Linked DNA regions of Rattus norvegicus. The protein of the gene in region 1 interacts with the protein of each later gene in a pairwise test. Links are inferred from orthologs where the notes say so. Each region holds a gene or a part of one and is shown in the gene's direction. Other genes may lie near its edges. The genes, in order: Dtx2 and Rfx6.

Region 1 (6,668 bases):
CAGAGCCTGAGGAGGCCACAGAAAGGTGGCCTTGGAACTGGAGGTACATACAGATGGTTGTGCACTGTCATGTGGGTACTGGAAACTGAACTCAAGTCCTCTACACAGTAGCAAGCACTGTTAACCACTGAGCTGTCTCTCTTCAGCCTCTAGAATTCTTTAACTATCCCTCAGCCCCAGACAGAGTCTCATTGTGTAACCCTGGCTGTCCAGGAACTCACTCTGTAGACTAGGCTGGCCTCGAAGTCAGAGATCCACCTGCCTCTGCCTGTACTGGAAAGTTTATTAGCTTTTAAGGTTGTTACAAGTCACACTCTTTGGGCAATGTGAGACATGTGGTGTTTTCTCTACAACCTTTAGAGATGTTAACTTGTAAGCCAACCAATAATGCCATATAGACCCATCATAAAGAAACATAATTGTGGGGGTTGGGGATTTAGCTCAGTGGTAGAGCACTTGCTAGGAAGCGCAAGGCCCTGGGTTCAGTCCCCAGCTCCGGAAAAAAAAGAACCAAAAAAAAAAAAAAAAAAAAAAGAAACATAATTGTGATTGTCTGTAAGAAGTCCATACTTGGGGTTGGGGATTTAGCTCAGTGGTAGAGCGCTTGCCTAGGAAGCGCAAGGCCCTGGGTTCGGTCCCCAGCTCCGAGAAAAAAAAAAAAAGAACCAAAAAAAGAAGTCAATCCATAGGGCAGAAAGCAATTGCATTCTTACCGAAAAGAATTTAAAGACGGGATGGGGGTGTTTTCTCCATTTTTCTAGGATATTTGGCTGGGAAGTGAATTCAGTTGACTTAAGGCAGATTTAGCAAAAACACAGTTTTAATTATGTGCTAATGCACACAATTCAAAATATGAGGCTAGAGGGGGGCGAAACAAACTGGGTTACATCTCGTCATGAGGTCAAGGCCAGCCTGGCTACATAGGGAACAGTTGTCTCAAAAAAAAAAAAAAAAAAAAAAAAAAAGAACGAAAGAAAGATTGGTTACACTTAAACTCTGGAGATGAATTAAGTATGAACACAAGATCATCAAAATGGCTCGTATCACCGAGTCTCATGCCTCCAGTTCGACCCCTGGACTAGTGGGGGAGGAGAGAACTGAAGGGCACGTTCTCAGTCGTCTATATGCATGCTGTGGCGTGACCTATCCCTGCACACAAAATAAGAATAAAAAACAGGAGTCCTGGGGTTGGGGATTTAGCTCAGCGGTAGAGCGCTTGCCTAGCGAGCGCAAGGCCCTGGGTTCGGTCCCGAGCTCCGAAAAAAAAGAAAAAAACAAACAAACGAACAACAACAACAACAACAAAAAACAGGAGTCCTTATCTGTGAGATGGAAATGAGCAGACAGGAGTTCCTTAGAGGGCTGGGGATATGATTGAGTTAGTACAGAGCTTGCCTGTAGGCAGGAAGCCCTGGGTCCCCACCCCTGTGCACCCATGAAGCTGGGTCCAACGGTCCACACCTGCAATCCCACTGCTCAGAAGGTAGAGACTGGAGGATTAGTAGTAGCAGGTCATCTCTGAAGCCAGGCTGAGGCTATTTGACACCCTGTCTCCCAAACAAACGACCCCCCTAGCCCCACTAGGAGGGACTTCTTATGCAGAGCTTTTGGGGACAGACATGTTTTCCTTGGGGCTGTCATTAAGCTCTTTCTGGCTGTATAGGTTATATGTGGGTCCTGGGTGGCTGCCGTCTGCACCAGGAAATGCCAGGTGCCATCCATTCATCAGAAGTAATGAGCAAAGCAGCTCTGTCTTATCAGACTGTCCCTCTGGAGCGTCAGATGGAGACCAATTAGCAGAGGCAGGAAGCAACACAATTCTGCCTTTCCAAGCAAAACAGTAGCAACTCCCCCAGCCCCCTCCCCCGCCCTCCGCCCGCGCGCTCCACAGTGCCGGCGCTGAGGCCAGGTCTCCTTGACTTCTCTGGCTGTGCTCTCCTTTTTGCTGGGTGAGCTGGGAGCAGATTCTGGGGAATGGAACAGGCTCTGTCACGTGAATTTTAAGGACTTCTTTTGCAAATCCAGGGTCTCCTACCTACTTGCCAGATTAAGTGCTCTACCACTGAGCCATGCCACCATAAGACAAGGCTTAACATTTTTAATAGATTACTTTCTTATTTTTAAATTTAAATGTACGTTTCTTAAGACTGTGCTTGTAGGGGTTGGGGATTTAGCTCAGTGGTAGAGCGCTTGCCTAGCAAGCGCAAGGCCCTGGGTTCGGTCCCCAGCTCCGGAAAAAAAAAAAAAAAAAAAAAAAAAAAAGACTGTGCTTGTAAGCTCAGCAGTTAGGAAACAGAGGCAGGAGATTCAGGAGTTTAAGGCTAGCCTTGGCTACATAGCAAATTCAGAGGGGGTATATGAGATCCTGAACCCCCTCCACCCCCAAAAGGTGAATCTTACAGCTGGGGATTCATTAGTACTAGAACACTTGTCTGAAGTGCTTGCAATAACTTTGGTCGTCTAAAGTGCTTGCATTAACTTTGATCCTCAACACCACAAAAAGAAAAATCAGGGGTTGGCAATATGGCTTAGAGAGTAAAGGCATTTGCTGACAAGCCTGACACCTTGAGTTCGATCCGTGGAACCCACGTGAAGGTGGACGCGGAGAAGGGGCTCCTAAAGTTGTTCCTTGACCTCTATAAGTACACCCACCTCCAGAATATACACACATAATAATAAAAAGAGATATAAAAATTATTAAAAATCAAATGCATCAGTAATTAATGAAGGAGTAAATCAGTAGGAGAAAGAGAAGGAAGGCTGGGTACCTTTACAACAGCTGGTGCGCTTTGGTTCAGCCCACTCAGCTTCACCAGAACTACATTTCCCAGAAGGCACCGCGCGAGGGGGACATGCGCAACGCGGCGCTTGGAGGCTGCGACGCCGAGTTTCACTCCGGCTGCCTCCTGCTCGGAGTCGGAGATATACTCGGGGGTTCTTCCCAGGCCGAGCCGGAGCTGAGCCCGGAGGTCGGCGCTCCTCTCAACCTGTTCCTTCTGCTTCCCTCAGACTCGGTGAGCGGGACGGGCGAGCCACCTGCTGGCGCCCAGGCTAGGGTCCTGAAGGTGGGTGGGTGGGTTGAGGAGAGGGGGCTATTGAGCCAAGCTGAGACCGGAAGGGGGCGGTCGTGCGAGGGAGGGAGGGCCGTGCCGGCGGGTTGGGTGAGTCCTGGGGGCGTTGGGAGCCCTGGGCACCGGGTACCAGGGTCCTGGAGGCGGGAAGTCGCAGTTGGGACGCTCTGAGCGTTGGGGACCGGCTGGGTGTGGTGAGAGCCTTATATTTGCAGAGACGGGGGTCGCATCTCTGGCAGTTTGAGTCCTACAGGACCTGGAAGAGCCGTGAGGCTATTGCTACCCTGGTTCCCTGAGGGGACAGTTTTAGTCATCCAGGCGATAGTGATCCACCACTGGCTGAGAGTTGGACTTTGGGGGCGTTTGCCTTTCCATTCTCGGTCTCTGTCAAACTGGGTCCCCGGGGCACTTTGGGGTGTCTCTGTTTTGAAGCTCCGCTTTTCATCCTTTCCCTCAGACAGCCGCAGGGTTGCCCATATTAGCTTTGCCTCCACAGTGGCGTAAATACGAATGTGTACACAGGCAAGACATTTAAGGAACTCCATACCATCTTGGCCCCTTTAAAGTTCTAGAGAGCCGAGCGATGTGTTGCATGCTTGTAATCCCAGCATTTGGGAGACCAGGGCTTGAGGGTAGTTTAAAGCTTGCCTGTGCTGCATAACAAGATACTATATTACACACACACACCCACACTCCCAAAAAGTGTTAGCCAGGTATGGTGATTTATGCCTGTAATTTCAGTACTTGTGAGGCAGAAGCATGAGACTCAGGAGTTCCAATCTAGCCCTAAGCTATATACTGTGGACCCTGCTCAAAAAAAAAAAAAAAAAAAAAAAACCAAAAAACAAAACATTTAGCACAAGGCCCTGGGTTCGGTCCCCAGCTCCGAAAAAAAGAAAAAGAAAAAAAAAAAAAAAAAACAACCCACCAAAAAAAGAAAAAGTAAGAGTTCTGTGATGTAGACTTCCCTCCCAGTAGCCAAGAAAGTGAGGGTTGACGTCAGCTGCTTGGGTATCTAGTCTCTTTGCTTATTTACAGTGTGACTTTGGTCAAATTTTTACCCTCTCTGGGTTGATTTACTTCATGGACCGCCCGTGGGACTTCCTTCTGAGGTCCTCATATGGGCTTTTCTGGGAAAGGGCTTAGTTGAGGGGACTGAGAAAAACTGTCCCTACTTTGTGCTCCCTGCCCAGGCTGTTGTACAATAAGCCTGGTGGTTTCCAGTCGCCTGCCACAGCACACGGGACCCAACATCTGTGCGCTCGTTTTCTCTTGCCGTTTCTTCATTGAGGACTTAATCATCTTTTTGGCAAAGGTACCTCGGAATTGGTGTGGCTGAGTCAGCAAGCCCTCGGATTTTCCCGGTTCTTGTTTGCTGTTCATATCAAGATGGGAGCCCAGACAAGTTATTGCTTCTGACGATCTCCATCAAGAAGGGACAGTTTGGTGCCAGCCCTTCAGTGAAGAGGAGGTGAGAGCCATGGGGAAATCAACCTTGCTGCTTTTGAAAGCTGGTTTCAAAGGAGGTGGGTGTGGGCATGGAAGGGAGATGGCTCAGTCCATACAGTGCTTGTCTGGCAAGCAGGAGGGTCCAGATTCGCTTTCCAGAACCAACGTAGAAAGCCTGGCATGGTGGTTTGTGCTTGCGCTTTTCTGCTAGGGAGGAGACAGGTGAATCCCTGCGGTGTGCTAGGCAGTCAACCAGCCTAGGTTGATGGCACCTGCAGAACTGTAGCCCAGGCTATCCCCTAGCCTCCAGGAACCCCTAGTGCATCTGTGCACACACGCACATTGCTTTTCTACAGACACATACATAACGAAGCAGGCCGCATGGACGGTGGGATTCTGGGGTTCCAGGAGTGAAGTGAGGCCTGGGAGTTGATTGTTGATTGCCAGCTGTTGCAAATAAATTCATTTGGCTCCTTGCCAGCGCTGCTTCTGTCTAACCAGTCTTAGAGGATACATCCTTCCTTAGACATGCCTTATGGGCTGGAAACAGCTTCGGTAAAGTGCTTAGCCAGCATACAAGACCTGGGTTCAAGCCCCAGCACTTCAAAACGTTTATTTTTTATTATTGTGCGGGCCCTGGTGCACGTGTGGAGGTGACAGGGCAGTTTGCAGGAGTCACGTCTCCCTAGCAGGTAAGTTCTGGAGATCTAAGTCAAGTAATCATAATTGGCAGTAAGTACTTTTACCCGCCAAGCCATCTGACTGGTCCTGCCTTTTTTTTTTTTTTTTTTTTTTTAAAGAAATAACGCTATCCCTACTGCACAAATCTGACCACCTGGCTTCTATCCTTGGCTTCCACGGTGGAAAGAGAGACTGGATTCCCGAAAACCATCCCTTCTACACTCCTCCATTTCAAACACAAGCCCACATTCACACAAAAATAATAAATTAAAAAGAAAATAATGCCTAGCAAGGTGATGGATGCTTGTCATCCCACACTCGGGAGGCTTAGGTAGAACTGAAGGTTTGAGGTAAGCCTGGGGTATGTAGCCAGTTCACCCTTGCATGGTGGTATAAGTTGCAATCCCAGCATTCAATAAACTGAGGCAAGAGGATCATGAGTGTGGGGCCATCCTTGGATACGTAGTGAATTCTAACCCAGCCTGGGCTACTCAGGGAGATATCTCAAAACCAAAAAAAAAAAAAAAACGACCAACAGACCCATGCTTTATGGGCCAGAGAAACAGGTCACTATCACTGCATATGAACCAGAAATGTTCATTTCTCTGTTTGCACAAACCTCTGCTGGGTGCCAGATGAGATCGCTGTCTCTCTGGCAGCTCCTCAGGTGGAAAGACAGATGCACCAGTTAGTGACATGGAGTTTCGATACGTGTAGAGAGAGCTGAGGTGAATTATGAGGTGAGCCCCTCTCCTCCAGGAGGAGGTAGGCAGGGTCAGGATGACTTGTGAAAGTGACTATGGCCAAGGCTCACTGTAAAGTAAGGCCATGCATGGAACTGTAATTGTAGTGTCAGAGGGAGAAAGCGGGAAGGAGTGTCAGCATTTGCATAGTCAGGAAGCTGCTGGCCAGGGCTGGGCCAGGCTGCTGTTAGTGGAGCTGTACCAGCCAGAACTAGAGTGACTGAGGAGTGGAGAGGCTGGGATTGTGGGCACTAGGCAGATGTAGCCGGTTCTGAAGGCCTTGAATTGTCACCCAAAGATGTGCATACACTGGAACCTGGTCTCCAATGTGCTTGTGGTTCTATGCACACTACCCTAGGGGTAGAGAGATGGTACAGTGGTTAAGGACACTTCCTGGTCTTGCAGCTGACCCTAATTCCGTTCCAAGAACCCATGTGAGGCTGCCCACAGCCATCTGTAACTACAGCTCCAGGGAATTCAGTGCCCTCTTCCTGTCTGTGTTGTCACCCTTCTGAGTATGGCCTAAAATATACAATAGCAAATCGATCTGTTTATACATGTGTGTTTGTATATATGTCTGTATGTGTTTTAAAGAGGTCATCAGCTTTGGGGGCTTCACTCGTGAGCAGACTAACGCTGACCTTGTGCTGTGAATTGTCTCCTTAAATGAGTGCTAACTCAGTTGTTTTAGGGCTGGGAATGTAGCTTAGTTGGTAGAGTGCTT
Region 2 (5,944 bases), on another chromosome or scaffold:
CAGCCACTTTAGAATAATGATGTGGTAATTTTATGCTTTGCAGCAAAATAAATCTCCAGTAGTTTGAACAAGAGGTCAGAGAATATTTCGAATATAGTGTTGGCTACTGGACTGTTACCACAGTCTCATTTTATAGATTAATTTGTTGGGCACACAGAAGGTTAAAACAAAAGCAGACACACAATGCTGCGGCCTGATTATCCCAGTTGAAAGCCATAGGCCCAGGGCGTGGAAGACGCGAGTGAATCCGTGCTCACCAGTGGTGTTTGTGTGCTGTGTTCAGCTGACTGTGAAACGACGGCACTGTGATCGTTTGTTTGTTATGGTACAGTGTCGGCCTCATAGTACATTTCCCTTCCTACTTGTGAGTTATTATTTATTAAAATAGTTTACACAATATATTTTGATCACGTGCTTCCCCCTCTTTATAGCCCCTCTCCTCTCCCAGCTCTTCCCCATCCTCCTCAATGTCCCCCAACCCCTGAGGGAAACTGAAACAACCCCGGCTTTTCCTATTATGAACTCCAGATTACCACTGCTGTGAAATAGCTGTGTTGTAAACTTGTGTGCACATATATTCGCCAGTTATTTATACAAGGGAGGGGTCGCTTAGTTTTAACAAAGGGTGCATTAATAAATCATTCGAATACTTTAAAAGACATGATCCCCTGTCTTACTGTGTTACTCATAGGATGGTCTCACTCTCTTTTCCAGGTCAAATAGAGCTCTCACAAAGTACTGGCCATCTGATGACGCCACCTATTTCTCCAGCCATAGCAAGCAGAGGAAGTGTTATTAACCAAGGGCCAATGGCGGGCAGACCCTCGAGCGTGGGCACAGCTCTCTCAGCTCCAACGCACTGTCCGACGTACGCAGAACCGATTTATCCTACCCTCCCTCCAGCCAACCACGACTTTTACGGGACCAACTCTAACTATCAGACTGTGTTTAGGGCACAGTCTCACCCTGCGTCAAGTCTCTATGCTCACCGTGCAGAGAACGGGCGATGCATGGCTTGGACGGAACAGCAGCTTTCTAGAGACTTCTTCGGGGGCAGCTGTGCTGGGTCTCCGTATAATTCCAGGCCGCCTTCCGGTTATGGGCCATCCCCCGCAACCCAAGAGTCACACAACATGCAGTTTTTGAACACAGGGAGCTTCAATTTCCTCAGTAACGCAGGAACTGGCAGCTGCCAAGGAGCAGCCTTACCTTCTAATTCTCCTAATGGTACGTAACCTCTAAAGTGGGTTTTTGGCTCTTGAGAAGGCAGCAAAGCAAAAATCTGACGTTGAGTGTCACCTGCTGAGCTTCATAATATACAGTAAAAAATGTAAAATATCCCAGAATCTTAGCTGCTGTAGAGCCATACCCCAACACATTCCTTAATTCTTGTGGTTTTATTAAAGGTTTTTTTATACCTGATTTTTAAACAGTCAAACCTTATGCTAGATACATTAAAAAAGAATCTGTCCTTTGAAAAAAATTTTTTTCAATAGAGATTATGTCTTTCAGAGAATTAATAGTATATTTCAAAGATTGGTTCTAAAACCACTATTATTTAATTCTGTAAAAATAAAAGAAAGCAAAAAAAAAGTAACCCTGAAGTTAAGGAGATCGAAAGACATTGGATTTATTAAACTTTTAAAAAGACCTTCTCCTAAGTGTAGTCCTGAATTTTTCCATGAACATGGCTTTGTGGGGAGAAATTCTGTTTGAGAAATATTGCGGTTTAAAGCAGTACTTATACCTTTCTTCATAGATATGCTTTATAAATTTAGTTATAGAAAATATGAAAAACGTATAGTCAGTTTCAAAATGAAGAATATGCCAGTTACCTTTTATCTAAAAACTACTATAGTAAACCATGCTATAAAATAAGGCGTGAGTTCAAGTCTCGAGCTAATAGAAATCATCCTGACTATTTAATATTTTTACCCAGCGATGATGTTTCTTTTTCCTTTCCTGGGGTGATTCAGCAGAGAGCAAATAGAACATTTTCAACTTGTTCCATTCTAGGGTACTATGGAAACAATATAAACTACCCAGAGGCACATAGGCTCGGATCAATGGTGAACCAACACGTTTCGGTCATCAGCAGTGTTCGCTCCCTGCCTCCCTACAGTGACATCCATGATCCACTTAACATTTTAGATGACAGCGGCCGGAAGCAGAGCAACTTGTTTTATGCACACACATCCTCTCCTGTCACATGTCGGACTCCTGTAGTGGGTAAATTGTTTTCCTAGTCTTTGGAAGCATTGTAAGAAGCCATGAGCTTTAGCTATGCAGAATGACCTGGCTAGGGGGTCGGGGGGGGGGTGGGGATGGGGGTGGGGAGATGTTCAGTGAACGAGGCATGCATGGCCCTAAAGTGATTTTATCATCATTTTATGTTTGTTTTTGTGTTTGAGTAAAGAATACATCTCCACTTCTCATTCTTTGAAATGATTAAGTACACACCTTCTTTAAGATCTGCTATTTCTTCCAGAAATAACAACTTATATGTACTATGTATAAAAAGTTTACTACAGCTTGCCAAAGGCATTTGAAATGATAGTGAACTATCTGAGAAGAAAAATGATACATTTTCCTCATTTTTTTTTCACGACCATCATTGGACTCACTAGAAAGTGTCAGGAGTGATCTTTGGACCCCATCATCACCATTAGCACCCCGTACCACTCTGAATGCTTACAGTAGCTAACAGAAATCCTGCAATGGTGGCAGCTAGTATTTTCTCAATTGTAAAGTGGGATTGAATAGCCTTGCAGTAACTGTCGCTACTTTTAATCGTTATATATAGCATGTAATTCAAGTCCACATAAGCATATCAGTGTGCCTGCCAGGAAGTCTCCTAGCTGCTTCTTCCAATCTTAGCCTCATCTATGCAGGGACTGGATGCACTGCCTAGCTGGCTGCACAGAGGAACTTAACAAATCGATGAGGGAGGCACAAGTCCAAATAAATCTAGGGGCTTCAGGTATGACTCTGGCAGCAAAACATTTCCTTGCCTGTCATACGCGAAGCCCAGGGTTTGACTTCTAGCACCAAGCTAATAACCTTAAATCTATACATACATTTAGTCGACGTTAATAAGTTATTTCTGATAGCATAGGTATTGACCCTGAAGCCATGTTTACATTTAGTTTGGAAAACTAATAACGCAGTATCGCCAAGAAAGTTTGTAACCATCACATATCAAAAGAGAGTGTTGATGTTTACATGAGACGCCTGAAACCATTCTTCAGTGGAATTTATTTTTATACTAGTGTCAGTGAAAGGTACGTGATCCCAATAGAAGCACCGAGAAAATGAAATACATTCCATCTCTCATCACTCAGTGTACTTTTCCAATAACTCAATAGGAAGTACTTCTTCCCTTCCTGTGGCCATCACAAACGCACCTGAGCAGTCTAGTAGCTCATCTCCTGCTATCTGCTAATAGCCATTGCTTCTAGGTTACTCTAATGAAGCAGAAAATTCCACTTCAGGAAGTGTCCTCACCATCAGACTAAAATGTACCGTGTTGCTATTGTTACTATTAGTTCTGTTTACTCGTAGAGATAATGGAAACGTTGATGGAACATGGCTTGGAAGTATGGTGGCTTCTAAGCTTTAGCTGTCAGAGCTGGCTAATGAGCAGATTGCAAACTGGGCATCAGAGTGAAAGGGGAAAGAGAACAAGTGAATAATCCCAGTGGGGCCTGGACTCATTCCGTGCTCATTCAGTTAGGAAGCCTGATCCTTCGAGACAGAGAGCTCGTTGGCTTGACAAGAGAAGGCATCAACCATGCAAGAAGGAAGTAGACCCGTTTGAACATGTTAAGGAAGGTTTTTTAAAGCAACTATGTATCAGATTGTGGGTATGAGGATACCGAGGTAATCAAGACAGAGTTTCTTCTTGGAGAAGGTTTATGTTCTCGGAGGGGAAGAGTCATGAACATACAAATGAATACATTACAAAGATAACTTCATTAGAAAGATAACTACCACATGCTTTCTCTCATATGTGAAACATTATATATATGTATATGTATATCTCTCTATATATATATGTAGAGAGATGCATTTATATATGTGTGTGCATGTAGGCCATGAAGGATCATGAGAAAGGAGGAAGAGCTCTTAATAGACATGGAAAATATATAGTAATGGAATACATGTGATGGAACTAACTGGGGAAGGAGGAACAGGCTGGAGAGGGAACTGACTATGGGGAAGTCAGTGGGGGATGGGAACAAATCAGAACAAGTGTAAGGACTATATGTACTGAAGACGCTATAAACCCATTACTTGAAACACTCAACTAAGACAGTTTATTAAAAGATAATTTAAAGTTTTTTTTGAAATATGTAAAGTGGTGATTGGCAAAGTGGGAGCTCTCTGAGGCAGAGGTCGGGAATGGAATCCTGAGGTGGAGACATTTGAATTGAGAGCTGGGGAATCCAGAAACACTGAAAATCAGATGAAGAAGATCTAGACAGAAGAAACAGTCATTACAGAGCCTCTGAATTCAGGGGGAAAATTGAGCAGAAAGAAAAATCAATGGGCCTTGCGAAGCTAAGCATATGAGAGTAAATTTCAAAAGTCAGTTTGTGTAGAATTTTGTGAATCATAGCAAGAAGACTGGATTTTGTTCCTAGAGTATAAGTCATGGTCATCTGACAGAAGAATACAACTGCTTTACAAGTCAGCATCATCTTTCTAGCTCTTCAAAGGGTGAAAGACTGAAGCAAGGGTGAGAGACTGAGGCTGCCATATGGGTCATGGGAGAGATGGTGATCAGAGGTGCGAACACGAGGTAGAAGTAGTGAAGATATCTTTTAGTGGCAGAATGTAATATAATATTTGTCTTTTCTATGAAATATGTAGAAATGATACATAGGAGTACAAGTGGGAAAATCAAAGGAAATATTATTGTTCTGGCGAATCATGCACACTTGCATTGAAAACACCTTATACGTGCTAGATGCCCAAACCATCAAAGGTTCAAAATGAATGGCCTTTGAACAGAATGCATCCATTTGTTTTTAATGGTTTGTGTTTTCCCTTGTAGCTTCCAATTTGCAAACCCAGATTCCTCCCTCTTCATCCCAGTGTATGTATGGAACTTCTGGTCAGTATCCAGTGCAAGATAATCTGGATTCCAATGGAGCAAGTGACAGAGAAATGGTGTCCTCTTTACCTCCCATCAACACTGTGTTTATGGGGACAGCAGCTGGAGGCACTTAAATGAACAATGCAGAATGCAGATGAAACTCAAGGCTCTGCTGCATCGGTGTCATTGTCTACCCCCAGCTGCCATGAGAGAAGAGACAGTGGAAGGTGGAGTGGCTGAATGTTATTTTCAGGTCACTGCTGTGTTGGACAACTCCATAGTGAATGGAAATACTTGTGTTGCACACAATTAGGCAAAAATGTGAAGCCATTATTAATCGTAACTTCAAGGACTATCGAATGAAGCCGATGGAAATTTAAAGATGCAGACACTACAAAGATGTAATATTTCACTTTCTAACTTATTGAAAATTCTCTATTTTCCTTCACCTTTGGTTTCTAAAAGAAGAAAAGTGTATTCAATGCCTTCACAAGATCTTTAATTTATAATCATTGTTTACTATCACCTTTTGACCAAAGTCAAATGTCTAAGTTCTACCTCCTGTGAGAATGTTTACAAGGTCAAGACTTTTTCGTATGTAGCCTAGATCCAAGTGACTTGACCTTCTTCTATCCCTGTGCACTAGTGTGGTGACTTCTGTTACATAGCAGTGTTCTAATTCTATGTAACTGAAAACAAATGATAAACGCTTTCCTTCTTTATTTAAAATGATAAGAGGAAATAAAAGGAGTGTGTGGAAACATTTTCAAGGCTGTGATTGCTTTGGGGATTGATTCTGTTTCTGGAGAACGTGAAGACTTCAGGCCAAAGTACAATGGATATGAA

The links.
Region 2: the proteins of Dtx2 (region 1) and Rfx6 interact in binary tests that used the Homo sapiens proteins (3 or more experiments, as listed by UniProt). The two-hybrid records come from large-scale screens. The link is inferred for Rattus norvegicus from reciprocal best matches to the Homo sapiens genes DTX2 and RFX6.

What each region holds. Positions count from the first base shown.
Region 1 is NC_086030.1:26,315,710-26,322,377, reverse strand, and holds the start of Dtx2 (probable E3 ubiquitin-protein ligase DTX2), read left to right. Parts: upstream 1-2,870; 5' UTR 2,871-3,014; exon of another isoform or gene 3,015-3,065; intron 3,066-4,386; 5' UTR 4,387-4,542; intron 4,543-6,668. UniProt on the Homo sapiens protein: Regulator of Notch signaling, a signaling pathway involved in cell-cell communications that regulates a broad spectrum of cell-fate determinations.
Region 2 is NC_086038.1:31,609,993-31,615,936, forward strand, and holds part of Rfx6 (DNA-binding protein RFX6), read left to right. Parts: intron 1-714; coding exon 715-1,227; intron 1,228-2,016; coding exon 2,017-2,229; intron 2,230-5,056; coding exon 5,057-5,232; 3' UTR 5,233-5,944. UniProt on the Homo sapiens protein: Transcription factor required to direct islet cell differentiation during endocrine pancreas development. Specifically required for the differentiation of 4 of the 5 islet cell types and for the production of insulin.